7 linked regions of the Cricetulus griseus genome follow. The protein of the gene in region 4 interacts with the protein of the main gene of each other region in a pairwise test. Links are inferred from orthologs where the notes say so. Each region holds a gene or a part of one and is shown on either strand. Other genes may lie near its edges.

Region 1 (4,089 bases), on a different chromosome or scaffold from region 4:
CCAGCCTTTCTTGAGAATCAGTCCCCCTAAGTTGCCTAAGCTGGCCTCAAACCACTAGTAACCCCTCACACCTCACCTTCCCAAACTGCTGATATCACAGGGTTACAGGCCCTCACCACAACTCAGCTTGTTCTGTATAAATGACCCAGTCTCAGGATTTTGTTTTGGTAAAAGACAGGGGATTGAACTTGGGTTCTCGTAAATGTGGAGCCCTAACTCTACCCCAAACCCCCAGGATTCCTTAAGGACTTAGACAGAAAGCACCTTCCTATGTGGAAGTTCAGATGTGCTCAGGTTTTTCCTACCATTAAGAAAAAACAGAGCTGGGTGGTGGTCCACACACCTTTAATCCCGGTACTCAGGAGGCAGAGGCAGATAGATCTCTGTGAGTTCAAGGCCAGCCTGGTCTACAGATGAGTTCCAGGACAGCCAAGACTACCCAGAGAAACCCTGTCTTGGGAGAAAAACAAAACAAAACAAAACAAAACAAAACAAAAACCACAAAACAAAACAAAAACCCAGAAAAAAGGAGAGAAGTATGAGCAGGTTGCTAGCATGTACGAGGTTTTGGGCTCAATTCCCAGTACTAGAAAGGGAAAAATAAAAAAGAGAGAGCCTGATATGATACAGGCTGATGCAGGAGGTCTGCAAGTTCCAGGCCATCCTGGGATAGATAGTGACACTCTGTCTTAAAACAAAAACAAATGTTCAGTGATAGAGTTGCTGCTTGCAGAAACAGCTGGACTAGATCCTCTGCCCTGTGGAAAACAAATACAATTAAAAAAATAAAGCCAGGTGTGGTGGTACAGGTCTGTTACCGTAGCACTCAGGAGGCAGAGGCAGGAGGATTACTAAAAATTCATGCCCAGCCTGGTATACAGTGAGTTTCAGGCTGGCAATAGTTGGTGAGGCTATGTCAAAAACCCCAAATAAGTAAGTCGGTAAATGAATGAATGCATACAAAACCTGGCCCAGTTTACTTAACTTCTATAGTTCTCCAGGCCTTGTTTATACTTGCTGTTGTGACTTTTATCTCCTACTCTTTCACTGGGTACCCAGTACTCACACTGAAGCCACTCTAGCAGAATTACACAGCAACTTCCTTGTAGCAAATGCCACCAGCATTTTTCAGTGCTTACCTTAGATGGCCTTTCAAAAACATTAAACACTGCTAAGCCTTCCCTTCACACACCCCCTACTTATCTAATATTTACTAAGCACCTAATATACGCCAGGTACCAACAGTCACTGTGGTAGAAGCTAGAGTATAGTTGTGACAGACAGTCTTTGGCCTCAAGGAAATGACAAGTTCCTGGGAGAGAAGGCAAAGAAACAGACCTTTATAAAGTGTGAAGAGAGTCAAAACTAGGGTGTTATGGGAAAGGTGTCTAGACAAGATCTTGCTGCAGAACTAACAGCTTCCAGAGGAAGATAGACTAGGTGAGAACTTGGCAGACAAAAGAGGGATCATTTCTGGCAAGTGCAAAGATCTAGAAATGGGAAAAGGGACCAATGACGTGGGCATGTAAGCTCCCACTAGACCCAGGTTTCAGGAACTCGGTTATCTACATATGGCAGGTTGTTGAGGATTCATGTAGTGACTGGTCAGGCAGAAAATGTGAGAAGGGGTTTGTGATGGAACTCCCAAGGTCAACCAAAGAGGTAGGGGAGAACCTCTGCAGAAATAGATTGATCATCTGAGAAAATAAGCCATTCCGGATGCAAATACTCTCTCTGCCAGTGGGGGCTTCTATTTCACGCTGCTGTTACTCCTACATCTCCAGCTATAGTGGGGTAGACACCCCCCAAGCTTTCATAATTTCCATCTCCTATTCTCTCATTTTCATGTCCATCCACCCAGTGAATGTGGGAGTCTCACCAGGACAGGGGCTGCACAACTGTCTTATTCACCCAGCACAACACCCGCTCACTGTATGACTGGAGATGTCTAAACACAAAGTAAACAACAACAACAACAAAAAAAAAAAACCTTTGCAGTGCAGGAATTGGCTTTTGCTTCTCTTCTCAGTAACACTACTTACATTGGTGGCCACCCATTCAACTAATTATAGTGATGGACCTGCAGGAAAGTTTAGTAGCATTTCCTCCTGCTCTGAAAACCTAGGTACCCAAAACTGCATGACTGTTCCCCTTCTCAGGGCTCAGGTGCCCGCGCGGGCAATTCCTTTTCACCGTTATGTATATGTACTTTCTAAGACGCAGCACGAAGTCTTAAAGACCTCCTTCCTCCAGCTGACTCCGATCCTGACTTCGTTAAATGAAGTCACAACCGTCTCTTTTTCACCCAGGTACAACAAACAGGGGATATGCCACTGCTGACGGCTGTAAGAAGTGGAAGAGGCGCGCTGTAAGGCGCAGTGTACGTGCAGTTTCTCTTTGCAGAGGTCTGAGCACCTCCGGAGCAAGCCTCCAGGGAAGGGATACCCCTCCCTACAGACGCGGAGAACAAACTCACTGCGGCGCTCCGGGAGCATCCAGCCGCGATCCACCCTCCGATTCACCGAGCTGGCCAGGGAACCGCGGGCTCGTCTAAGGCCAGCACTAGAGCCGAACCGGTTAAGTCTCTGCTTTGGCTCCGACCCGGGAAGCCCAATCCAGCGCCAGGCGTGACCATACGCACCGTAGGGACTGGGGCCTCCGGCCTCACGCCCGAGACTCTACGAGAGCTGTCGGACCCAGGCTGTAAACGCCACCGCCGTTGGCCTCTGGGAATGAGCTGCGAAGGTCCCTCTTTCTCCAGGAGGGGCCGACGCTTCCGTGTGCGTCATCAAAGGGCGCCCGCCGCGAAGTTTACAATCGACCCACCGGTGCTCAGGCATGCCGGGATACCGCGGGCGGGTCCCCATAGCAACCGGCCCACCGTCTCCCCGGCCTCCCAGCCTGCCCCAGCATTGTGGTCTGTGCCCTTGAGTCCACCAGATAACACGATGCTCCCACCACAACCCCTCAGAGCTCAGGAGAGTCACAGAGCCAGCTGAGGGTCTGAACACTCGTTTATTTACACACTCATCTGAAGGCAAACGCGCAGCCCAACCTAGTGAAGGGCACAGAGCTGGGAGTTTAACCCCCAGGGCCTACAGACCCTCGCTCCTTCAGGGAGCTTGGAGGGCCAAGGTGTGAGAGAACCAGGAAGCTTAAGTTTTACCCCAGATTGAGCACTACATTCTATGTTTTCATCTTTCTTTCCAAAAGGCTCATTTTATTAAGTACTCAGGATTCTCAGATTTATTCCATTCATACTTCTTGCTCTGCGGTTATCCACCCAACATTGTTAATAATAACAATATAATACTAACAATAATAGCACTGTAATAATATTAATAATACTTAACATTTGTACGAAGTTTACAGGATGTTTTCACATACAGCACCTCATCTGAGCCAACAGTTCTGTGAGGTAGGTATTTTCACCTCCCTTTTTACAGACGGGGTATTGGAGGCTCAGAGAGGTAAAAGGATTTGTTCAAGGCCACACAGCTAGTTAGTGGTAAAGCTAGGACTTGATCCCAGCACCCCATAGTCAAGTCCAGTGTTCCAAAACCACAGCTACCTCTGTAGAGTGGAGGGATGTGTCTTACCCCAGTCAGGCCTGAGGAGCCAGATGCTGGAAATTCTCAGACCAGGGGAAGAAAGGATTCAGCATCGATGGGGAGAGTTGGGGTACTTAGCCTTCAACTCCTGTTTGAACTGGCGGTAAAGGATCTTATTGCGTTGGTTTTCTGCCTCCTTTTGGGGATGGAACTTCAATGCTTCTTTGAAGCCCTTATGAACCAGAAAACCTTCGTTCAGCACCTCAAAATTAAATCCTGCTACGTGCAGCTCACAGGCCTGGAGAGAGAAGGGGGGGCAGAGAGAACAATACTTTAATGACATCCCCAGGACCCAAATAGTCACCCCTAAAGCTTCACTCCACCCCCCTCTTGGGAATTCTATACCATCCGTCCAACCACTCTCCTCTTGCTTCATGGCCTCCTTTCTGTCAATGTCCACTCCATCCCGGAAACACCTGAGTCCCAGTCCCACCTGCCCCGTCCCTTTTAGGCACCTGGCTGATTCGATTGAAGCCAT
Region 2 (4,083 bases), on a different chromosome or scaffold from region 4:
CTTGGGGGGAGCTGGTACCAAGGAGGTTGCGTTTGAGCCTCTGCTGCGCTCTGGCCCAAATACGTCAGGATGCCTAGTGCTTTCTCTTGCCTCTCCTGTGGGGGCAAGAAAACAAAATAGTCTTCCCAAGTCCCTCTGGGAGCCCTAGATATGGCATGTGGCAGTAGGGAAACCCAGGGCCTGAGTTCCCAGTGAGGCAGGGGCTGGTGGGTATTCAACAAGGGAAATCACAGACCAGGGGCCAGCTACGCAAAAGTGCTGATGGCTAATCTGCAGGGGGCGTCTAAGGAAAAACTGCAGCAAAGCAGAGGAGTGGTTTCAGTGGGATGCAGGAGAGCCACAGTACAGTTCACAATGTGAGAAGCACAAGCGCCATCTGGCGACAGATGCTGACGACTAGCATTCAGGAGGCCAGCGCCGGAGGGGGTTGTGAGCTGGAGGACAGCCTGTCTGTGTAGTTGAGGTGTCATCTCAAAATAAACTAGCTAAGGTTAACATAAGAAACAGCTGTTAGTCACAGCTGGTAGCGCCCCACCCCACCCCACCGAAATCAGCCAACAGAGGCCAGCAGCTTACCTTCTCCTGTCGCTTCTCTTCTTCATGCTCTTTATTGCCTCTGGGCACTCCTTTCCCTTCTTCCAGCAGCTCCCTAAACAGGTCCACAGGGCCAGAACTTGGAGCGCCTGCCTCTGCTGCTTCCAGCTCAGGGCGTGAGTTCTGGTGCCTGGCTTTCTTCCGTAGGAATTCTGTTCGGGCCTGTGAAGAAAGTTATAGGCAGGACATTCAGAACGTAGAAGTGCTGGGGGCTCCAAGGAAGGGCCATGAGCCGGCTGGTGGTGACACACGCCTCTAATCCCAGCACTCAGGAGGAAGAAAGAGGCAGGTGGATTTCTGTGGGTTCGAGGCCAGCCTGTCTACAGAGTCCAGGGCAGGCAAGGCTACATAGAGAGAAGCTATCTGGAAAAAGGTTTAAAAAAAAAAAAAAATTGTGTGGGGGGGGCGGGGGTAGAGGTACTGGGAGCCAGAAAAGACACCATTTCTAATTTGAAGTGGAGAATGGGGTTTTTGTTTGGTTTGGCTTTTGAGATAAGGTTTCTCTGTAAAACAGTCCTGGCTGTCCTGGAACTCAGTCTGTAGACCAGGCTGGCCTCCAACTCACAGAGAATCTGCCTGCCTCTACCTCCCAAGTGCTGGGATTCAAGGCATGCGACACCACCACCCGACGAGAATGGTTGTTTTTAAACAGTTAACTGGATTACCAGGGATATTTGGGGAGATCCCAGCCTAAAACAGAAGGGTTTCCACAGCCTGGAGTCATGCAAGAAAAACAGCTATCAAAAACCACTCAGCTAGGGGCTGGAGAGATGGCTCAGCGGTGAAGAGCACTGACTGTTCTTCCAGAGGACCTGAGTTCAATTCCTGACAACCACCTTGAATGAGATCTGGTGCCCTCTGCTGGCATGTGGGCAGAAGACTGTATACATAATAAATAAAATCTAAAAAAACAAAAACTACTCAGCTATAAGGTATAGAGGTGGCTTGTTCACCCATAGAGCCCCTGCTTAGTGTATGCCCAGCACACACATGTACAAACTCCCAAATACAGCTTATTAGGAAGCCAAACACAGTTTCTGGACAAAAGATCTGAACCCCAGGTGTGGCTCCAGGTCAGCATCCCAAACACATTAGTGATGGCCCGTGTCACTCCCATCCCAGGTAGGTTCTGCATTGCCACCAACGCCCGGCTACTTCCGAAATTTTAAATACCCACACTACTTCATGATCAGATTGGCCAAGGGACTTAATTGTAAACTAACATGATTGAGTAATTACTAACGCCTGTGCATGCATGCGTGGTCTTCAATCCCACATTCAGGAGGCAGAGGCAAGAGATCTCAGAGCTCGAGACCAACCTGGTCTACATAGCCAGTTCCAGGGCAGCCCGGGCTACATAGACCCTGTTTCAAAGAAAGCCTCTTTGGTGGCGCACGCCTTTAATCCCAGCACTCGGGAGGCAGAGGCAGGGGCAGGGGGATCTCTGTGAGTTCGAGCCCTGTCTCCAGAGTGAGTGCCAGGACAGCCTCCAAAGCAATACAGAGAAACCCCTGTGTCGAAAAATAAAAACAAACAAACAAAAAACCGAAAGAAAGAAGAAAAAAAAGAGAGAGAGAGAGCAAGCCAGCCTCTGGGTGTGTTTGGGGGAGCAATGGTGGAGAAAGAAGAGGTCTAACGGAGTGCACTCCGGCTTGCCCGCCCTTTGCCCTCCTCGTTGAAGCCTTTGCAACTCCAAGTCGCTCTAAGAGGGTCGTGTCAAGTCTAGCGCTCTGCAGGAGGGGGGGCACGCATACAGTGGGTGCTCAGTAATTAACTTGTGCGGACGATCTCCAAAGTGATCGGGGCAGCCGTCCCACTCCGACGTGCTAGCCTGCGGTCACTTCAGCCACACCAGGGGGGGGGGGGGAAGGGGATCCAGGACGGTTTCGCGCAAGTCAGCAAAGGATTTGCGGAGAAGCGTCAGCAAGCACAGACCCGCGGCTGCCACCGAGTCACCCACCGACCCAGCGAGGCCCGCCTCGCTTCCGGGCCAGCCCAGGCTCACCTCCTGCTGGGCGAGCAGCACCCTCCGCTCACGCTCCTTCTCCTCCTCCCGCGCCCGGGCCTCATCGCGCCGCACGCGGGCGACGTTGTCCTTGTTTCGGACGTGCCAGCTCTTCTTGGGCAAGATATTCATGGTCCCCCCGCCGACCTCCGAGCCAGCGGGCCCCCGACTCCCACACTTCCGATTGGCGCGAGGGTGCCCCCGCCCCGTGGCCCCACCCTCGCCTGTGCATTGGTTCCCGGCCAGACGCCACGCCCACTTATGACCCTATCCAGGGGTGATTGGCTAAGAGGCCCTCCATCACAGCCAATCCCAAACGTTTGCCACCCCCGGGTCGCTCCACCCCGGACGCCGCCGTGTAGGGCTGATGCTGCCCCGCCTTGTCTAGCCCTCTGCTCGCAGACACAACCCGGGACCCGGATCAGGCCCCTCCCTAAACCCTGTCCCCAGCTTCAGGACCCGGCTTCAAAATGCAAAGCTGTTGTTTATTAATAACGGTGCAACTGAGAGTGTGGCACTGGGGTGGGTGGGGTGGGGTGGGGTGCGGAGGACTCGATCCAGAGACCACAGGGTACCAGATAGGGAGGTGTAACCACGGGTCTCGGGTGGTCAGATGGCTCCGTTCGCTGAGCTCAGAGCCACAGCTCGCTGGGCTAGGAAGACTTTATTCTTCGCTTCCTGAGGGCAAGAAAAAAGAAAGGGGGTGGAAGTGAGGCAGGCCTACTCTACACCCTACACCCGAGTCCTTCCCAGGTTCCCAGGGGGCCCTGGCCGGGGAAGCACCATGGCTCACCGTCTCTATCTGGCGTTTGAGCTCGGAAATGAGGCGTCCGTAAGAGTTAGCCAGGGCTATTGTAAACACCATCAGGATGCTAAGGAAGACAGGGATGAAAGTTACTTCAGAAAAATAAAATAAATACACACACACACACACACACACACCCCTTCATCATATGGCTCCTTAGAAACCAGGATCACGCCCGGTGCTGGTGGCACACACCTTTAATCCCAGCCCTAAGGGAGGCAGAGGCAGGCGGATCTCTGTGAGTTCGAGACCACCCTGGTCTACAAGAGGGAGTGCCAGGACAATCTCCAAAGCCACAGAGAAACCCTGTCTCGAACCCCCCCCCAAAAAAGAAACCAGGATCAGGACCCCCAAGGGCCACTGGCTTCTGCTTCAGACCAGGAGGAGTCCATACCTCTGCCCTCCTCCCTCTGACCAGGGGTCTAGACTGCAGACCTCCTTTAGACCCAGTGTTCAAACCCAGACTTCTTTTCCTTAGACCCGGGAATCCAGACCCCAAACCAGATCTAGGGAGACCCCAGTTGTCTTCCATGCCATAGGTACCCAGGCAGCAGCCCTCCTCTCTAGCAGCCCCCAACCCCCCAACACTAAACCACACATATCCAAACTCCGACCATAAAGTCTGGAACCACTTACCAAGAGAGGATCAGAAGGGGTACAGCAAAAGCCTGCGTCCCCA
Region 3 (4,129 bases), on a different chromosome or scaffold from region 4:
CATGACATAGTCTTACTACTAATTATGAATGTTTGGCCTTAGCTTTAGGCTTGTTTCTGCTTAGCTTTTTAATTGAAATTAACCCATTTCTATTAGTCTATGTGTTGCCCTGAGGCTGTTCTTCTGTCTCTACCTCCCAAGTGTTAGACAGTGTGGTCCATGTTTGTAATTCTAACACTGAACTCTTGGTTTGTTTGTTTTTGTTGTTGTTTTTGAGAGACAAGGGTCTGACCATGTAACCTTGGCTGGTATGGAACTTGCTCAAGCTCACAGAAATCTGTCTGCCTCTGCTTCCTTAGTGCTCAGATTTAAAGTCACGTGCCAATACACCTGGCTGACTTTTGAAACACCACACATAGCTGGCAAAGACCCTGGAAGAGTCTAACAAACCAAAGGAGTTGAAATATTATATAACAACAGGTCATTTGCAACAGAATTGGACTAAGGGTACACATAGCTCAGGAGAGTACGCAGAGCATGTCCAGCGAGACCCATGTTTTGTTGGTTTTTTTTTTTAATTTTGTTTTAGACTTATATACACTATTTTATGTGTATGCCTGTGAGTCATAAATGTCCCTGGTGCCCAAAGAGGTCAGAAGAGGGCATATGAGCCCTTGGAATTGGAGTTATAGATAGCAGTGGTCTGGCATGTGAATACTTGGAACCAAACTCTCGTCTTTCTGAAAAAATAAGTGCCTTTTTTTGGTTTGTTTTTCGAGACAGGGTTTCTCTGTGTAGCTCTGGCTGATTGGAGCTCACTATGTAGACCAGGAAATCTGTCTTCAACCCCCTAGTTCTGGGATTACGAGCTGCTGTGTATTGAGGTCAGGGGCTCTTGCTTCCAAAGCATGTATTTCACCAACTGAATTTTCTCATCACCTCCCTAGCATCTGGTCAGCAGAGGTGGACCCAACAGGTTGTCACTGATCACTAGCTGACGAATGGATTACAGACGTTAGAGAACAGTAAATGATGATGCTCCCACAGTGATTCAAGGGAACTCAAACAGGAGGATGTTCCAAGCTAAGGAAGTGGATATATCCTGAAGACACAAATCATCAGGGTTTACTGACAAACCTGATGTAGAATGAGAAAGAGGAGCCTTGAGCAAGGGGAGGCTAATGTGCTAAGAGACTCCATGGAGCAAGCAGTGAGATGTCAGGTAGACAGGTGGATATAGGGATGTTAGTTTACTGAAAGAACTATGTCTGAGAGAAAAAGCTGGGAGTAGTCATCAAATGCATGGTTTCAAACCGGAATCTGCAGACAGCAACACAGGAAAACCTAAAACTCAGGCCTGCTCTGGTCACAGAGCAAGTTCAAGTCCCGCATGAGTAACTTAAGGAGACACAGTATCGTAATTTAAAAACAAAAATTTAAGGGCAGGTGTGGTGTCAAATATCTATATTGCCATCAGTTGGAAAAACAGAGGCAAAAATCAGTAGTTCAAGGTCATCCTCACCTACATACAGAGTTTGAGGCCATCCTGGGAATGAGACCCTACCTCAAAACAAGGAAGTAAAGCTACTATGGCCCTAAAGCCATATTCAATCATCTCAATACTGCTTTTAGAATAAGAAGGCAAGACTAAGAAACTGGAGGTCAACCTTCCCAATGAGACAAGTATCAGGTACTTTCCCACTCATCTCTGCCGCCCACCCCCACTCGATTCTAAACTGTTTTCCTGCCTCGGTTAATGGAACATTTCCCATGTTTTTTATATCTTAGTCGGCAGGGCACAAAACTGGGGTGCCTGGCCTGTTGAATTAATGGCGGGTTTGTTGTTGTTGTTTTGAATAGGAATATATTCATTTTCTTTTACTGTCTCGATCGATAGAGGTATACCATGTATATCAGGCTGATCTGGACCTTACTATGTAGTCCACGAGGGCCTTCTTCTGCCTCAGCTTCTCACCTGCTGGGATTACAGGCGAGCACCGCTGCTCATTGCTGGAATATGTTACTCTATTTAATATTCTCTGCCTTGGGGTAGACTTCCGGTGCTAAAAGCAAGGACGAGTACATTGTTTATTTCGGTATCAGAACTGCCTAAACTCTTTTTTATTGGGGGGGGGGGTTTCAAGACAGTGTTTCTCTGTGGATCGAACTCACAGAGATCAGCCTGCCTCTGCCTCCCGAGTGCTGGGACTAAATGTGTGTGCCACCACCGCCCGGCTTAGAACTGCCTGAACTCTTAACACAGTTCAAAGCATTGCACAGGAAACACAGTCATACTTCACAAGCCCAGAGAATAAATACTGGAACTTGGTGTGAGTGATTACTTCCTGTTGGAACTCTGAGGTAGGTTCCAGAAGGTACGCGTTGAAGTGAAGGACCACGCGGGAAGGAAAAACTGCCTCCTCTTTGTAATTCCAAACCCGTATCCGGATGGACTGAGCTAGTCCGGCCCATGCCACCACTCCAGCCCGTGTCACTCACCCAGCCGCGTGGCGCGTTCCCGTGGCTTTGCAGGCTGGTCTGCAGTCCCGTGTTCAGTCTCGAGCTCCTCCTGCTGTTGCCTGGCTTGCTGCAAAATGCGTCTGCTCAGCCGGGGTCCAACATACTCTTCCTCCTCTTCAACCCCGCGTCCCCGCCGCTTGTCTCGGGTCCCCGCGCGCACTGCATTCCCAGCCAGAATCTGCTCGGCCAGAGGTGCATGCTTCTCCTGATTCCGGGCCCCGCGGGCCACCTTCAATTTGGGCATTTTTCTCGAAAAACTTGCCGATGCTACTCACACGTGGGAAGCCGGTTTAAAACTAGGACTGTGTCTGCGCCCTGTGTTCCGGTGCTCGGGAGGTCACCGAGAGTTCACAGCGCCCCCCAGCGTTCGGAGGCCGGAAGTGCCTCATATACCGCCATCTCTCCAGGAGCTCCGGGGCGGGAGCTGGACTCCCCAGATTCTCAGGTAATCTCATTGTACGGAAGTGGGTGGATGTCCCAAGTCACCTTTTCCAGACAGAATTCATGAATGTAGCCTGAGAGGTCCTGTCAAAGCAAAGCGCGCCCTGGGGGCGGAGCCGGGCTGATGACGGAATTCGTTCATCGCTGGAGCGCCCGGGCACGCCTCCCTTCTGTGGGTGTACCGCTCTGGCGCTCAGATTTTGCGTATTTCCGGAGCCTGCATCCTGCTTTAGGCGGCTCTACCTCCAGGGGCCTCTGGATCCCTTGACTTCGAGTGTTTGGCAGTGCCACCCCTTTGACCCTGCGCCATGGGAGTGACTTGGTAGGACTGCAGGGGCTCTTGTGGGACGGAGCTTGGGGTCGTGAAGGCCCCAGGAGGGGGATCGGGACGGAAGCTCTCGGTTCCTCGCGGGCTGACAAAGATGTCCTCGGGTCGTGTTGCAGCAAGGGACGCCGTGTGGTGCTTCTTCCTTCCCAGGCGCATCCTTTTGGCAAAGCCAACTCTTCATTCCAGGAACCTGTCAGGAGTCGTACCTTCTTTTTCTTGGTACTTCTTCATGTCCGTCAGGCCATAGTATTGTCGCCAATAGGACCTAAAAGTTGGGAATAGGCTTTCGCACTAAGAATTATTTGCAGGCAGCGATAAAAAAGAGGGGGGCGCTCTAGGAGAAAGTGACTTTTACATTTTGCTTGCAGTAATAATAGCCTGGCTTTAATTTGGTCTAATGTCAGAGGGAGAGGAAAAGGAGCTGTTGGAGGTTTGGAGGTCGGGGTTCCAGGCACATTAACTATCCAAGAATCACTTCCTACATGTTTGAGTCAGGTTTGGGTTTTTTTTTGTTTTTTATCTGAAACGTGTTTTAAATCTCACTTGGAAAAAGAGAGGTGATTGGTAATGTCTGGACACCGTGCTTTTCTTCAGGGCATTAATTCCAAAGTACTAGGCTTCAGCACGTTAAAAAAAATCTTGGTAGTGGTGTGTGTCTTCCCAGCTGTTCTGTATAATGTGTGTGTGGGATGTTCTTCAGGAAACCCAGGCTCTTGCAGGGTTTTTAGTGACTACTATACGTGCAAATTAGTTGACACCAGGAGCCTTATCTCAACCTCATCACACCGTAAAAAGTACCTGTCAGCAGTGAAAATAGAAATCACAGCAGAGTCACTGGGCCCTATAAAACATTTCTGTATATGTTTTTATGGGCTGTCGATCACCTGCCTCTGACTCCTG
Region 4 (3,500 bases):
TGACTTTCTGAGACCTTCTAGGTTGCAGTAAAGGAGTACCCCAAATCCATCCTTTCCCTTGATCTTCTGGATTGAATTTGGGATTGGATTAGAACTGCCTCTTTACCAGTGGGAAGTTGGGGGATACCTTTATTTCCCTGGAAGTGTAAAAGTCATTTCCATCATGGATGTCCTAACGTATCACTTACCTTTCTAGAAGTGTTAGAGTTTATTCTAACAACAGCATGTGAAATCACAAAGTTGGCTTGCTCTCCAAAGGTTTGGACATACCCAACTGGGCTGCCAATAAAGCTCCCCAGGTCTCTTTTTTAGTATAGACAGAGAAAGGAGCCATGCACATAGGTTGTCCCAGACTCCATTCTGGAGATCTGCCTAATTGAAAACATGTCTTGTGGAAGAAAAGGGGGCACATCTGGGGACAGCGTTTCCACACTGGGAAGAGGTCTGCTCTGTCTAAAGGGCTGCAGATTGGGATGGATAGCCAGAAGACTTACAGGGGTGGAAACAGTCATGTTGGGCAGTTCATGAATTTGGGGATTTGGATACTTTGTAGGATTTGAAGACTTGTTCTTGCCTGCTGACTCGTTTTTTTAGATGAGATCATATCACAGCCAAAGTATAGGGGTACATTTTACATACTTGGGCCAATTAAGGGTGATCCTTCAAGTAAAAGGACAAATTGAATATATGGGATAGCAGTCCATTTTCCCTCTTGCTTGCAAAGCAGATTGAGCGGAATGATGGTATTGTAGTTTAAATTGCTCCTAGAGGCCAAGATTTCCAATCACTTAGTGGGCGTTCTGGCCAGCCCTGGATAGGGAGAAAAGAACCTTTTCCTTATGACTCTGAGGGTCCGTCTTACTTAGTTTTCTAAGAAGTAGAGCAGAGGATTTGATGTGATCTTGGTTAGGGTCAAATCCATCTGACCCTGTCTAGTAAATGGAAGCATTCCTTGGAGAGACACCTCTCTCCTTACTCTTCCCTGGGCCCAAAGGGATGCCTCTGATCTGGGAGAGCCCTCGTGTTTAGAGATTACTTCTTACTTGTGATGTATTGGAACTTTTCCAGGGGCCGTATGGTTTACACTTTACATACATACATACATAAAGTTTGCACATGGGTGCACACACACATATAAATAAAAAAAAACAAGGTTTTGGGGGAGGCCAGCTCTGTCATTGACTTAGTTATTTTAATCTTCTAAGAAAACATTTTTATTGACTTTTCCTCCTCCTTTAGATTACAAGCGCTTACTGGTCAAAAAAAGACTGATTACACGGAGAAAAAAGATGAGCCCAGCAAAGACAGCCATCAACAGGTTCTAGTTGACCAGAGATACTTTCAGGTATTGAATAGCTGATGAAAAGACTGGTGTTTGTGAAGATCCTTGGTTTTATGCAGTATAATTTGTTGCCACTTGGTAAGGAATGTTTGTATACAGACAGCTCTAGGTATCTGTGGGGGCTTGGTTCTGGGATACTTGTGGATGCCTAAATCTGCAAAATCCCATATATAATGGCATTGTGTTGTGACTTGAATGGGAAATGCCCCCTATAGGTTCATGTGTTTGAACATGTGATCTCCAGCCATTTAGAAATGTTTGGTGTTTGTTTGTTTAAGACAGGTCTCTCTCTGAAGTTCTGGGCTGTCCTGAAACTTGCTATGTAGACCAGGCTAGCCTCAAATTTATAGAGATCCATCTTCCTCTGCCTCCCAAATGCTGAGATTAAAGTTTTATATATTTTAAATTTAGTTTAGGTGTATTTCTTGTCAGGTTTATTTTCTAGGTATTTAATGACTCTCATTGCTGTTGTGAATAAGATCTAGGCAACTTTATGAGAATTTTATTTTAGCTGTTTCTCTGTGAGTATGTAACTGGGACTCTTTCATTTGCTTGCATGGGCTTAGTATGAGAGCCTGTGTGTGTGGAGACCAGCTCTTATTTCACTCTTACTGTTGGCATCTTACTGCTTTTCATATACTTGGTTTCCTGCTCTACTCTTTGGTTTTCTTTTCTTTTTCTGGCATTTGCTAGATTGACAGATGTTTCTTTGTCCTTTTTAATTTTGTTTTGTTTCTGCCTTAAAAGAAAAGCAGTAATTCATGTCATTCAGAGAGCTCACTGACACTGATAAACTCCCTGTGTTGTTGTTGTTTAAAGCAATCTAAAGGTGATCAGAGAACAGGAAAAGCTAAGATGAATTTAATTAATTAATTAAGCAATGGAATTTTCTTAAAGGCTTTTCCTGTTCTTTTAAAAATTCTTATCTCTGCGGGAATTGCTTTAAGTTACTTTATGGTTTCTACATTGTTACTATATCTTTTACTGCTAATTATCAAAAAGGTAGTTAATTCATACAGGACAATGTAAATTGTCACCTGTAAAAATTCTGATGGAATTAATTCTTCCATTAAAATCATGAGTTTATATATAATTGAAATTAAATATTGAAATATATATTTTTAAATAATTTATTTAACTTTATTTTATGTGCATTGGTATGATGGTGTCAGATCCCCTGGAACAATAGTTAGAGTTACAACTGAAAATTGCTGAAAATTGAACCCAGGTCCTCTGGAAGAGCAACTAGTGTTCTTAACTGCTGAGCCATCTTTCCAGCCCCCTGAAATATATTTTCATGAAAACTAAAAGCCTTCTAAATAACCTCTGAAGTCATATTACCAGGAGACCCATTAGTTGCAGCTTGAAGTATGCACAGGACAGAAATTCAAGATAAAATGCTGATCTCATCGTCACGATTCGTGTGTGTGTGTGTGTGTGTGTGTGTGTGTGTGTGTGTGTGTGTGTACGCTTGTGTGTGTTTGTGCATGCATGGGTTCCTGGTGTACATGTGGAGGTTAGAGAACAACTTGTGGGTGGACCATGTGGGTTCTGGGGACGGAACTCAGCTTGGTGGTAAGCAAGCCATGTCACTGGCCCTCATCTTCATACTTGATGATGATTTCTTAAATAGGATAGACTTCATGTTGATAAATGGGGAATTACTTTTATTATGTGTGTTTTGTTTTTTAAATACCACGCAAGGTGTTAAGAAAGGGCAGAGACAGGGGGCAGGTAATACCTAAACTCAGGCCATCTGACAGACCTGGGACCTCATTAAAACACTTTCTAAAAGGCTCTGAAGTTAATTAAAGAGGTAAAATAAGAGAGAAAACAAACAAGGTTGAAAGAATGATCTATTTTACCTGTCTTTGGGTGGTCCCTATTGTAGTGCTCATCATCACATCTAGAGAGTCAAATAGTATACATAATAAGATATTAAAACTTCAGCTCAGATATCAGTGATATTAAGGAGTTGTCAGTTTTCTTCAGTGTGACAGTGGCACTATATTGTATAGACTATACCAGCTTTTAAGAGATGCATGCTTTACTATTTGAGGGTAAAGAATGATGATAGCTTGATTTAGCTGACCCTGCAGACAGAGTGAGCCAAGCTAGGAAAATGTTAACAGTTACTGGATTTAGGTAGTGATTATGT
Region 5 (4,299 bases), about 53 Mb from region 4:
ACCATAGCAGTCACTCCAGGATCCCATTCCCTTCCAAGGTGACTTCATATATTGCAAGACAACCTAGGCACATTTTTCTCCAGCCATAATATTAGCCAGGTTCCTTCCTTCCTTCCTTTCCTTGGGTGTGTGCCCCAGTCTGTGAAGTAAAGAGTAGACTGTGAGGCTGTGAATGCACCATTAGGCCTGCTATTCTCCCTCTGAAATTTATGTTTATGCTTCTGCATACCTGGGAGGGTGTTCTGTCTTGTTTGTCTGTCTAAGCCTCTACTTCCTTGCCTATGTCACAAGCCCTTGAGGGCAAGGACTCTCTGAGCCCTACAGCATCCACTGACTAAGAACAGCAACTTGGAGATCTCAGTGTCTCCAAGCCAAGCTGCCCACACCTTCCTGCCCCCCAGAGCCAATTCTTCTACAGGCACTCACAGTGGAGCCGAAGCTTGCATAGAAAAAGAGGTCTGTGTGTTTAACTGGCTCTCAGTGGAAGCAGAACCTGAAACGTTTGTTCCCTGTGCCCACTTTGTCTCCTTCTTACCCCAGAGTCCTCAGAGATGTTTCTAAGAATCCTGGGCCATCACAGAGAAATGTGAAAACAGTGTAGTCCATCCCTCAGTTTCACATGGAGGGAAATGAGCCACTCACTGGCTTGGAGCTAAAGACTGACAACCTCGTAACAGCCAGCCTGCCTCATTTCCCAGTGCCCTTAGAATTCTGCTTGGAATTCTAAGCACTGTCTCCACGAATGGGCTTCATGCTCCTGCCCTCTGTTGTCTATCATCGAGAAGCTAAGAGCCAGGCTGCAGCCAGGAGATGCTGGAGTCAGGGAACAAGCAAAACTGAAGACACCTTCGAGTACCAAATGATGTTTCTAAGAGAGGGTGTCTGATTCTGTCCCTACCTGTGACTCAGCACCTGCGGCCCCAAGGGTAGGGGCAAGAGACACAGAGTGAGAGTGACCAACAAGCACATAATCAAGGCTCTGGGCAAGGAGAGACCCTCTGCAATTTGAGGTACAAAAGCTAATGAGAAAGTAAAGCCCTTGCACTGGCTGCCAGGACGCTTTGTCCCCACATGCAGCTGAGTGAGCTCAGCAAGGGACAAAACCAGTGGCCCCAGCTGGGCCTTAACCCAGAATACCTTCCCCAGGTGCATCACATGCACAAGTCTCCACCTGCCCCTGCCTCTCCCCATGGAAGTACCGCCTCATCACACACGGGGAATTCACTCAAACACACTTACATAGCCCCCACACAAATATGGGCAGACACCCACATTCGCAGACATCCGCATGCGTATAAAATACACGCTTACATCCACCCGCCCACACATGCTCTCACTCCTGTGTTGTCCATCCACAAGCACAGACCTGTTGGCTGAAGCCACACAAACAAAGCACACAGGGCCCAACTGAGCAAGAGTAAGGGATGCCAAAGTGGGGGTGAAGGGCGTGGCTTCAGAACCAAGTACAACAAGCAGAGTAAGGGGTGTAAAAGCCTGGGGGGGGGGAGAAGGGGGGTTGAAGGAAATGGCTTCCAAGTTAGGGCAGATTCAAGTAGCTGCTGAACTGCAAAAGCAAACCTGGAGCCAGCAAAAAGGGTCTTTCAGGAGTCCTCAAATCCCCTTAATATGTCTCTCATTCTTGACCTACTCCCTAGGGTCCAATCCTGCTCAGTAGGGAAGAGTTTTCTATTCATAGAGGGGGCGGGGGGGGGGGGCAAGTGGAGCCCAGGAGAGAGTTTAATACAGTTTTACACTCTGGCCTGACTTAGATTTATCTCATGAACTTAGTCCAGCTTCTAACCTTTCTGGAGTTTCTATTCCCTCACTTAAGGATGCCCCTCTCCCAAGATCTTTGGCAGTTAGATCTCTGACCCCCAGGCTGGAGGTACAAAGGGGGAAAACTTGTTTTCTAAAAGAACGGAGCACAGTGGATTGAGGGTCAAGGTGGGAGGGGGGGAAGGGTAAGCGGGGAGCAGCCGGGGTCCTGATAAGTCACCTCCTTCTCAGCCTTGGCCTCCTCCACGGTCACAGTGCTGTGGTTCTTGTGCTCCTGGAACATGCAGAGGTAGCAGATGCAGGTCTGGTCAGTCTGACAGAAGAGCTCCATAGTCTTGCCATGCAAGGGGCACTTTCGGGCCTCGAAGTCCCGGATGGGCTCGAGCAGCTGGTGGTCACGGAAGGCAGCGCCCTCCAGGTGGGGTTTCAGATGAAGCTCACAGAAGGAAGCCTGGCACACCAGACAGGACTTGACCGCCTTCTGCTTGTTGCCAATGCAGGAGTCGCACAGCACCTCCTCAGAGCCAGACTTCGACCTCAGCAGGAGGCCAGAGTCAGCCCTGGGGTAGCTATTCCTGCGGATGTCCCCTGGCTCCACGATGGTCACCGTGGGTTTGCGGGGCTCAGAGAAGATGGACTTTCGCAGCTCCCCCTTCTCAGCAAAGGTCACAGGCGGCTTCTTGGAAGCCCCCAGCTGGAGCCCCGCATAAGGAGACCTCCTGCCTTCCGCAGAGTCCATGCTGAAGTAGTTGGAGCCTTTGTCATCCACAGACTCCACAAACTGGATGATGGGCCTGCGCCACTCATTGCTGGAAAACAGGGCACTCTTCCCCTCCCCTGACTTCAGGGCACTGCCCAGGGTCTTGCCCTCTGTCACTTCCCCACTGTGCCCGTTGGTTGTCTTGGTATCTTTGCTGTCTGCTTTAGTGCCATTCTCCAGGCTGCCATTGGGACCCGATGGGCTGCGAGTGTCCCTGGCTTCCGGGCTGGCCCCATTGCTCCTAGAGGCATCGGCACCTTCCATGGCAGGTCACTTGTTGGCCTGTTTCTGCTGGTTGGGGTCTCTTGGTAGGTGTCTCGGGCACGGAGTGGGACTAGCAAGCAGAGCCCAGGGACACACCTGTGGGGAGGAGAAGGTGGGGCAGGAGGAGGAGCCATAGGAGGAGCAACCTGACACAACGGGCCCAGGCGGGGCGGGGGGGGGGCGTGGGGGGGAGGCAAAGAGGCTAATTACCTGGGCCACGCCTGCACATTCACGCCCAGCCTGGGATTTTAAAGAAGTGTTTTTTCTCCCAGTTTTATTGCTTCCCACCATTGACAACCAGTTCGACTGCTTCTGTCTAAGCACTTCTAGCAGGATGGCAGAGCCTCTGTCCTCAACAGGTGGGCAGGCTTTGAGGAGGTCAGTGCCCCTGGGGGCAGAAGGTGAGGTGTCCAAGGAGGTCCATGGGACAGAAGGCTCTTAATTGGGTCACACAAGCCAAATCGCCTTGTAATTTGCGGGCTGGATATCAAAGGAAAGCCTCCACCCTGGGACAACACATCCTGCTGGAGCTAGCTGTGCATTGGGTCTGATTCGGAGGTTAGGACTACATGACTGATTCTTAGCAATTTGCAGCTGATGTCTTTAGGTGCTTTACATGTCTGAGTTTATTTAAGCCTCCCTACCGTCCACAATCATGTCGTGTGTGTGTGTGTGTGTGTGTGTGTGTGTGTGTTTCCAACATCTTTCTCAATTGCTCACACACAAACCTTTTTTTTTTTTTTTTTTTTTTTTTTTTTTTTTTTTTTTTTTTTTTTTTTTTTGAGACGAGCCTCTCAATAAACCCGGGAGCTGGCCACTGGATCTGCCTGCCTCCTTCCTGGAAATGGGACAACAGACAGACACCACATCTAGCTTTTGCGTGGTGTTAGTGCTTGAACCCAGGTCCTCCTACTTGTGGGCAAACACTTCACCCACTGAGCCACCTCACAGCCCCCAGCTGTGCCTTCTAACAGAGAAGAAGCACAGATGCTATGAGGACTCTGGCTTCAGCCCATCACAGGGCTGGGACTGGAGTCTGGGGCTTTGGAGATTGTCCAGTCTCTTCTACTCTTGCTTCTTGGAAACACCTAAATATCTCACTAGAGCATAGCCGCTGGAGGATTTCCTGTGCCCATGGCCCTGAGAGAGTACACACTCTGGCCTCAGAGGACAGAAGTTGCTCGGGGCCTCTGGGCCAGAGACTGGTAATAAAAGGAATCTGAGCAATGGCAACCAGGCAGAGGGTACTCAGAGCCAAAACCTCACTCTCGCCCACCCTTCTCTACAGTAGGTGTGCGGTGTGACTCAGAAAAACCTGCACACCTTCTCAGGGCTGGGCCCTATGTAATAACCTCTGAAATGAGGCAGTACAGTGTGGGACTTAGATAACTCTAGAGACATGAGAACTGCCAGCTCTCTTCCTCCACCAGCCCTTAGCCAAGCACCAGAACCTTCTGTTCTTACAGGACACCTGGAAACAGCTGCCTCACAGAGTACTG
Region 6 (4,261 bases), on a different chromosome or scaffold from region 4:
TGTTGGAAAAAGAGAGAAATCAAGAATGACATAGGTTTCTGGCCTAATAACCAACTAGACAAGGCAGTGAATATCACTGACTAAAAAGGAAAGGGAGACCCAGGGCCTAATTAGGTATTCTGCAACATTCTGAGTTTGAACTGCTCACAGAATATTCATACAGAAAATGTTGAATACAGCTGGACTCCAGATTATATCTAGTCTGGGATTTGACTTTGGGCAACACCAGATTACATTGGTGTGAACACCTGAAAATCTCAACTCAGTATAGCAGAGGGTTCAGTACCCATAAAGAGGCAGTGTGTGGGCTGGCAAAATGGCTTAGTGAGTAAAGGCAACTGCCACCAAATCTAGAGGCTGAGATTAATCCTTGAGAGGTTAAACCTCTGACCTACACACATGTGCCTAGCATGCTCATACACACACATACACACTCACACAAATAAATAAAGGTTTTTTTTTAAAAAAAGACACAAGTCTGCTAAAACACAGTTCAAGTTAAAGCATGCAGCTCAAGAACAAATGATGGCCTGATGGAGGCCACACTGGCTCTCTGAAGATGACAACCTCCTCAGAAAAAGAGACAACATGGACAAAGACCTAAACCCTGACATCAGAGCTGTACCAAGTAAAGGCAGTCCCTGCCCCACCTAACTCCATCCACCATAGACATCACAAGCTTCCATTCATCACCTATTTTTTTAAAAAAATAAAAACATATTTATTAGGTTGATCCTTTCAAAAGTACACAGATTCTTCAGTTCCTTACCACCAACAGTTATTCCCAGAGACTGGAGCACAATTCCTGCAATCCACTCAACACTCAGGCTTAGCACAGAGGAGTTCCCAAAGCACCTCTCTTCTGACAGGAGGAACATTTCCTTGAGAAGTTCAAGGACAGTCTCACCCGGGGCAGCAGTTTCATGTCCACAAACCAATTAGAGACAAAGCAATCCTACTTCTGCCAAAAGAGTTCATAGAAAGACCCCTATATTCAAGACAAATGGTCACACCACCCTGGAGGAGGATGACTAGTCCAGAATGTAGGAGAATCTAAAAGAAATTGAACCGAAATTCTTCATCAGGAAAGTCCACAGTGGCCTTGGTTCTTCCTGTTGGACGAGGCCTACAGACCCTTCCACTCTTCTTTCTGGCAGTCTCTCCTACAAGCTGTACTCGGGCTGAATGGGTAGCTGTAGGAAGGTGGAGCGAAGAGTCAGAACTGAGTAACAGTTAACAATATCCATGCAGTTATGATTGCCCCCACAATGTTCCTATAATGATGATATTGTCATTCCCTGATGAGATTCAGAGACCCAGTAACTAGCTAAACTGTTAAGATCTAAATAACAGATCCAGGATTTGAACCCATGGTACCTGGCTTTGTGGTCAGTGGAGTGAACCAAGGCCTAGACAGGTGAGCTGGGTTTTCCCACCCCAAAAACAGAACAAGGTGAGGACCAGGGTTCTCCTGATTCCAGGAGCCCAGAAAGGTATATACATTCTTCCTGCTTAGGGTTTTCCCTGTGCCCATTTCCTCCAGCACCAACCTTGCTGAGCTGAGCTTCTCCCTACCTCTTTGAAGTACATAAACTGAATCAATCACTTCCCGGTTCCTCACCAGTCCTTAGAGCCCTCAGGGCTTCCTGCCATTCGGCATCCATTTGAGCCCTGTAGTCCCCAAACAAGGATCGCATCAGCTGTCTCTTCCGGGGCAGGGGGGTTTTTTCACTGCGCAAGGTTCGGATTGCCCCAACAGCCTGCTCTTCTGCAGATAAAAATAAGGAGCTGGTAACTTCATACATACTCCCTACAAAAGCAACAATTCCATCCCCTGGCAATACCATCAGGCTACAGCACTATCACCATTTACATTTCCCTAACTATAAAGAAGGGGCTCTCACTCTGCTTCGGGGTGGGTTTCTGCGTCTTGAGTCCCAGCTCTAGCTGTTCCACACACCAGGCCAGCTCCCTCGCCAGTTGCTCCGCCTGGGGTGGAAAGAAGGTCATGGCTGTCATAGGCATCAGGACTCGGCAGACCCCAGCCAGTCCCATCCCTTCAGTGCCTTAATTCCGCACAACTAGACCACACTCTCAGGAGGACTAGCTAGCACCCAGAAAGCTCACAGGGAATCCCACCCTTACCTGGGCTTCAGCACTGGGGGGAGCTTCGTCTAGGACAGGTTTCTCGGAGATCTTTCCGTCTCCATTTGTCCCAGAGACCCTGTTCGGGATTTTCTTCTTCTTTTGCTTCATCGACACAGTGTTGCCTGTGGGATGTGCTCTGGTGGCAGAGTCACAAGCAGGTTGCACTAAACTGACAAGGGGCGGATCTGCGGCACCGCAAGCAGGACGGGGGAGCCGAGGTCTGCGCGCAGCGCGTTGAGTTCTCCGGCTTGAGGCTGCTGGTGCCTCCCGAGCAGGACGCCCTAACGCCTGAAAAACGTGGAACAGGAGGAAATTCACAGGGGCCCCACACCCAGGGCCTCGCCACGCAAACGCCTTCTTCCAAAGCTCACCGCCATGCGCCGTAGCGGTGACCGGAAGTCCTGACTAAAACAGTGAACTCAGTCCTCCGGAAATGCGTCTATGGCCCGGAGTTCCGCAGAAGGCGCCGCGGACCCTGCAGGCGGAGTAGCAGGGGCAAGCGCTCCGGGAGGGGCGGGGAGCACTCCGTGGATCTGGGCCTGCAACTCTGAGAGGATCCGGACAGAAAGAGCGCAGGAACAAACGTGGAGGCTTCGGAGAACCCAGCAGAGTGCATCGCTGAGAAACCAGACGAATGCGCGGCGAGATAGGGATGGAACAACCCTCCCTCCCCGCGGGGCGGGGCAGAAAGCCCAGAGGTGGGGCGGGGCGCACGCGCGCGTGGGTGTACACACATACACACAAAACATAAGTACTAAAAAATAGACATTAAAGGGGGAGGGGCTGGAGTGTTGGCTCAGTGGTTAAAAGCACTTCTTGTTACATAGGACCTGGGTTCCATTCCCAGCACCCACATGGAGGCTTACTACCTCCAAGGGCACCAGGCCCGAATGTGATGCGCTGACGTACATGCACGCAAAACAGTCATATACATAAAATAATAAAAATAAATCCAATAAAACAAAGAAGCTTTGTGTGCAGACTGATTTACAGTACTACAGTAATATGGAGATACTGGAATGCTGAAGGTCTAGTGGCTAATCACCTTATCTTGGACTACTTCTAGAACAGCTACTCCTTGCCCATCTCTGTCAGAACTAACATCTTGCTGTGAATAATAGATAAAAGACCTTTTAGAATCTGTTTACTTAGCAGACCACTAACTTCCACTAACCCCAAAGCTTCAGTAACATCTTGGGCCTATAGAAATGTTTCCCCATCTCATTGTAACTTTCTGGTGTATCCACCAGTGTAAATTTGCCTTGATTTATGACTTTCATTGTTCTGTAAAACTAAAGCCTTGTGAAACCTGTTTCCACCTTAGAACATGGATTTTAGGACAACCTAAACCTGTGTTCCTGGGCCATGGTCACTCAAAATGGCTCCAGAACAAACCTTGTCTTAGTCCCTTTTAGCACTGTGAGCTTATCTTCTACAAGTACCAAATTATTGGTACATTTCTTTTCAAATCTTGAGGAACACCCCATAATTACTGTTGTATGGTATTTTCCTCAGAATCCCTGACGGGATGGAATGAGGAAGTTTGTGAGGTTCTGGAGGAAAACAAAAGGTCTGTGAAAACAGAAAGGTCCTTGCCAGCTGTATAAAAAGGAGTGACAACCCCATGTGAAGAGGGTTCTCAGTCTTTGAAACTGCCTACAGGCTATCCAGAGAGCTCCAGGGCTTCACTTCCCCCAGTAGGATTTTCCAATGGCGCAGTAGTTTTTGAGTCATCCCTGCTCCTTGTAAGTAACCCTTCACTCATACTCCTGTTAGTAACCCCAACAAAAACTCATTAGTTCACCAAGTTGGTGCAGTCGTAACTTCGGTCTGTCATGGATTCCCTTTCTGGGGTGAGTAGCTCTTTGTGTGTGTGTAGAACTGAGGTCATTCTCAGGTATCATTCCTCAGAAGGGATCCACTTCGTTTATGTTTTAATATATAACTATGTCTTAGTTAGGGTTTTTTATTGCTGTGAAGAGACACCATGACCATGGCAACTCTTATAAAGAAAACATTTAATTGAGGTAGCTCGCTTACAGTTCCAGAGGTTCAGTCCATTATCATCATGACAGGGAGCATGGCAGCGTGCAGACAGCTGTGATACTGGAAC
Region 7 (2,536 bases), on a different chromosome or scaffold from region 4:
ATGTAATATGTATCCAGGACAGAAGACCTGGAAACTGAGCAACAATAAACAGGCAAAGAATTAGGATGAGTATCCTGCAGTTTTTCTATCTACCCCCATGCTATCAAATAACTATCAATCCCAGGAGCTGAGCAAAAAATCCACTGGCAAGATGCCTCATTTCTTTTCTAACCTTGTAACTTCACATATTGGCATGAGCCTCTCCTGGCTAAAGTGCCTGCATGTATCATCATAATGCAGTTTTGCCTGAATTTCCCATGGGCACATTTGGTTACATGGTAGTTATTTTGTAAGTAGTTGTTAAGTGCTTCAGGGAGTGAGCCCAGAAATAAAACCCACAACGAAAACATAGACTTATCTTTGGGTAACACTGGATCCCTTCCCCAAGAACAAACTAAAATGTAGAACCAAAGGTTAAAGTCAGTGATTTTTGAGACCCAAGACTAAGCACTTGTGCCACAGTAGCCCAACTCCCACCCCAGTAGGAAGAGCCAACAAAGTAAAAATAAATGTGTTTTTTATTGTGTCCACAAAAACAAAGCCAGGGTGGCCTTTGGTTAATACACCCTAAAAAGGGGTGACAACAAACAGGCATGCATGACAACTACCATCACCTCCACCAAGTTTTCCTCTAAAGAAGTGGGGTCTTATCTCCTGGAGCCCTAAGGGTCAGAAGCAATAGGACTAGGAGGCTCCAGAGGAAGGTACATATGGGCCCAATGGGTTGTGGAAGGCCAGCATTTGCTGCCTTCTTGGCAGGAGGAGGTGGGAGATAAGCACTGCCCTAGGCTAGGCCCTGAACCCCTTAAAGAACACATAAAAAGCCCTCACCCACCCTACCCCCAGCAAACACTGATAAGGCAATCAGCCAAAACTCTTGTTAAGAGCTGCTCAGAAACCAATACTCTCAGGGATCCATCCAGAAAGGGTTGCCTTCTTCAGCTTGTATGGAGTAGTAAACAAAGAGCAGAAAGGCAGCAAAGACCAGGAAGAGCAATAGCTGGCCCCAGAGTGGGACCTGACGATCCTGGCCCAGAGCAGCAATAGGAGCCTGCTTTTCTGGCCTGATGGCACGTCGGGTAAGCCATGAAGAGGGAGAAGATGAAGAAGAGGACACAGAAGAGGTGGAGGATGTAGGATAATAGGACAAGCCCAGGGAGCTCCTGGAGACGTTGGAAATGGGACGGTAGTGTGCAATGCTCTGGTAGACACTGTCTCGGCCATAGATGGGGCGTTCCCTGTGGCAAAAGAAGGAAACAAGTGGGCAGGAGAGCCTGAGGCCCAAACCTGTCCCTGTCCTTATGTGTGTTCACTACTCACCTATCCTTGCCCTCCTCTTCTGAAGAAGAGAAAATATCATCACGAACCTGCAAGACAACAGGGGTTAGGAATTGGGGGAAGGGTGGTTTCCCAAAAATGTCTCTGACCAGCCTACTCTAATCATACCCTAGAAGCCAGACCATTGCCCCCTCCCTCCAGAACGATTCTGATCTGTGGCCTTTTTACCTGTGGAGCCTTGCTACTCAGTGACTATACCTGTCAACTCTGTCTCAGCATCCTTTTATTCCCCCTTATTCTCAGAAGGCTTAAAACTAGATCCCAGACTAGAGTGCAAAGAATGCTACATGTGCTCTGATCAAAACAGTTTGTAGACTGGATACTTGATCGGCTGGATACTTGAGTTCAGTGTCCAGCACTCACCACCAGGGAGTTTACAACCACCTGTAGCTCCAGCTACAGAATAAAATTTGTATTAAGAAAAGAGAGATGATGGGACAAATGAACTTTTAAAAATGTCATGCAACTTTATCTTGGGTTTCTGGTTTTTATTTTTTTTTAAGACTTTTTAAAAATGCACCAACACTCATGCATACTATCCCAGACACATAAACATAATTAATGTTTTGTTTCTTTTTGAGATAGGGTTTGTCTTTGTAGCTCTGGGTGTCCTAGAACTCACTCTGTAGACCAGGCTGGCGTCAAGTTAATAGAAATCTGACTACATCTGACTCTCCAGTGATAGGATTAAAGGTATGTGCCATCACTGCCTGGCAAAGTAATTAAATCTTCAGTTTTGGAGGCCCCAAAGTAGAACTCTGACCCAAACAGCTGTATGCCGACCCTAACCCTATTTGACCGCCTAAGGACTACTCTCTGTACCTAATATCTCCTTGGACTTATCCAGACCCAGTTAGGATCCTCTCAGACTACATCCAGATATGCTGCCAGTCAACTCACCTGGTGATGGAAGGTGTGGGTATCTGCAAGTGAGGTCCCTGGCTGGCGAAAGCTCTTGGACATACCCACAGACTCGGGCTCCCCATATGTCCTGGTGGTCAAATAACTCTCCTCATAGTAGTCGTCATTATATTCTTGGGAAGGAAAAACAGTGGTAAAGGAGAAAGTGACCTCATGGCCCCAAATTCTGTGTGTGTGCTGTGACAGTTTCTCCACTCTAGAGCCATTGAGAACTGGGGTGAAGTCTTAGGTTTCCCTGTGCCCAAATTCCCTGATAAAGGACCCACCCCACACCTGT

What was found.
Region 1: the proteins of Cep70 (region 4) and Brms1 interact in binary tests that used the Homo sapiens proteins (3 or more experiments, as listed by UniProt). The two-hybrid records come from large-scale screens. The link is inferred for Cricetulus griseus from reciprocal best matches to the Homo sapiens genes CEP70 and BRMS1.
Region 2: the proteins of Cep70 (region 4) and leukocyte receptor cluster member 1 homolog interact in binary tests that used the Homo sapiens proteins (3 or more experiments, as listed by UniProt). The two-hybrid records come from large-scale screens. The link is inferred for Cricetulus griseus from reciprocal best matches to the Homo sapiens genes CEP70 and LENG1.
Region 3: the proteins of Cep70 (region 4) and bystin interact in binary tests that used the Homo sapiens proteins (3 or more experiments, as listed by UniProt). The link is inferred for Cricetulus griseus from reciprocal best matches to the Homo sapiens genes CEP70 and BYSL.
Region 5: the proteins of Cep70 (region 4) and Trim29 interact in binary tests that used the Homo sapiens proteins (3 or more experiments, as listed by UniProt). The two-hybrid records come from large-scale screens. The link is inferred for Cricetulus griseus from reciprocal best matches to the Homo sapiens genes CEP70 and TRIM29.
Region 6: the proteins of Cep70 (region 4) and CUNH8orf33 interact in binary tests that used the Homo sapiens proteins (3 or more experiments, as listed by UniProt). The link is inferred for Cricetulus griseus from reciprocal best matches to the Homo sapiens genes CEP70 and C8orf33.
Region 7: the proteins of Cep70 (region 4) and Emd interact in binary tests that used the Homo sapiens proteins (3 or more experiments, as listed by UniProt). The two-hybrid records come from large-scale screens. The link is inferred for Cricetulus griseus from reciprocal best matches to the Homo sapiens genes CEP70 and EMD.

The regions. Positions count from the first base shown.
Region 1 is NC_048596.1:54,243,822-54,247,910, forward strand, and holds the start of Brms1 (breast cancer metastasis-suppressor 1), read right to left. Parts: upstream 2,801-4,089; 5' UTR 2,642-2,800; intron 2,635-2,641; exon of another isoform or gene 2,477-2,634; intron 1-2,476. Other genes in the region: B4gat1 (beta-1,4-glucuronyltransferase 1), read right to left, coding at 3,658-3,849, 4,067-4,089. UniProt on the Homo sapiens protein: Transcriptional repressor. Down-regulates transcription activation by NF-kappa-B by promoting the deacetylation of RELA at 'Lys-310'. Promotes HDAC1 binding to promoter regions.
Region 2 is NC_048602.1:21,581,544-21,585,626, forward strand, and holds the start of leukocyte receptor cluster member 1 homolog, read right to left. Parts: upstream 2,801-4,083; 5' UTR 2,732-2,800; coding exon 2,600-2,731; intron 757-2,599; coding exon 577-756; intron 96-576; coding exon 1-95. Other genes in the region: Tmc4 (transmembrane channel-like protein 4), read right to left, coding at 3,209-3,277, 3,393-3,471, 4,041-4,083.
Region 3 is NW_023276806.1:255,579,836-255,583,964, reverse strand, and holds the start of bystin, read right to left. Parts: upstream 2,801-4,129; 5' UTR 2,705-2,800; coding exon 2,440-2,704; intron 1-2,439. Other genes in the region: mediator of RNA polymerase II transcription subunit 20, read left to right, coding at 3,210-3,223. UniProt on the Homo sapiens protein: Required for processing of 20S pre-rRNA precursor and biogenesis of 40S ribosomal subunits. May be required for trophinin-dependent regulation of cell adhesion during implantation of human embryos.
Region 4 is NC_048597.1:207,716,505-207,720,004, forward strand, and holds part of Cep70 (centrosomal protein of 70 kDa), read left to right. Parts: intron 1-1,239; coding exon 1,240-1,345; intron 1,346-3,500.
Region 5 is NC_048597.1:155,007,956-155,012,254, reverse strand, and holds the start of Trim29 (tripartite motif-containing protein 29), read right to left. Parts: upstream 2,801-4,299; coding exon 1,997-2,800; intron 1-1,996.
Region 6 is NC_048595.1:374,229,113-374,233,373, reverse strand, and holds CUNH8orf33 (UPF0488 protein C8orf33 homolog), read right to left. Parts: upstream 2,801-4,261; 5' UTR 2,526-2,800; coding exon 2,520-2,525; intron 2,437-2,519; coding exon 2,146-2,436; intron 1,990-2,145; coding exon 1,905-1,989; intron 1,769-1,904; coding exon 1,622-1,768; coding exon of another isoform or gene 1,599-1,621; exon of another isoform or gene 1,576-1,598; intron 1,194-1,575; coding exon 1,054-1,193; 3' UTR 439-1,053; downstream 1-438.
Region 7 is NC_048604.1:1,456,020-1,458,555, forward strand, and holds the end of Emd (emerin), read right to left. Parts: intron 2,373-2,536; coding exon 2,239-2,372; intron 1,368-2,238; coding exon 1,321-1,367; intron 1,239-1,320; coding exon 908-1,238; 3' UTR 501-907; downstream 1-500. UniProt on the Homo sapiens protein: Stabilizes and promotes the formation of a nuclear actin cortical network. Stimulates actin polymerization in vitro by binding and stabilizing the pointed end of growing filaments. Inhibits beta-catenin activity by preventing its accumulation in the nucleus.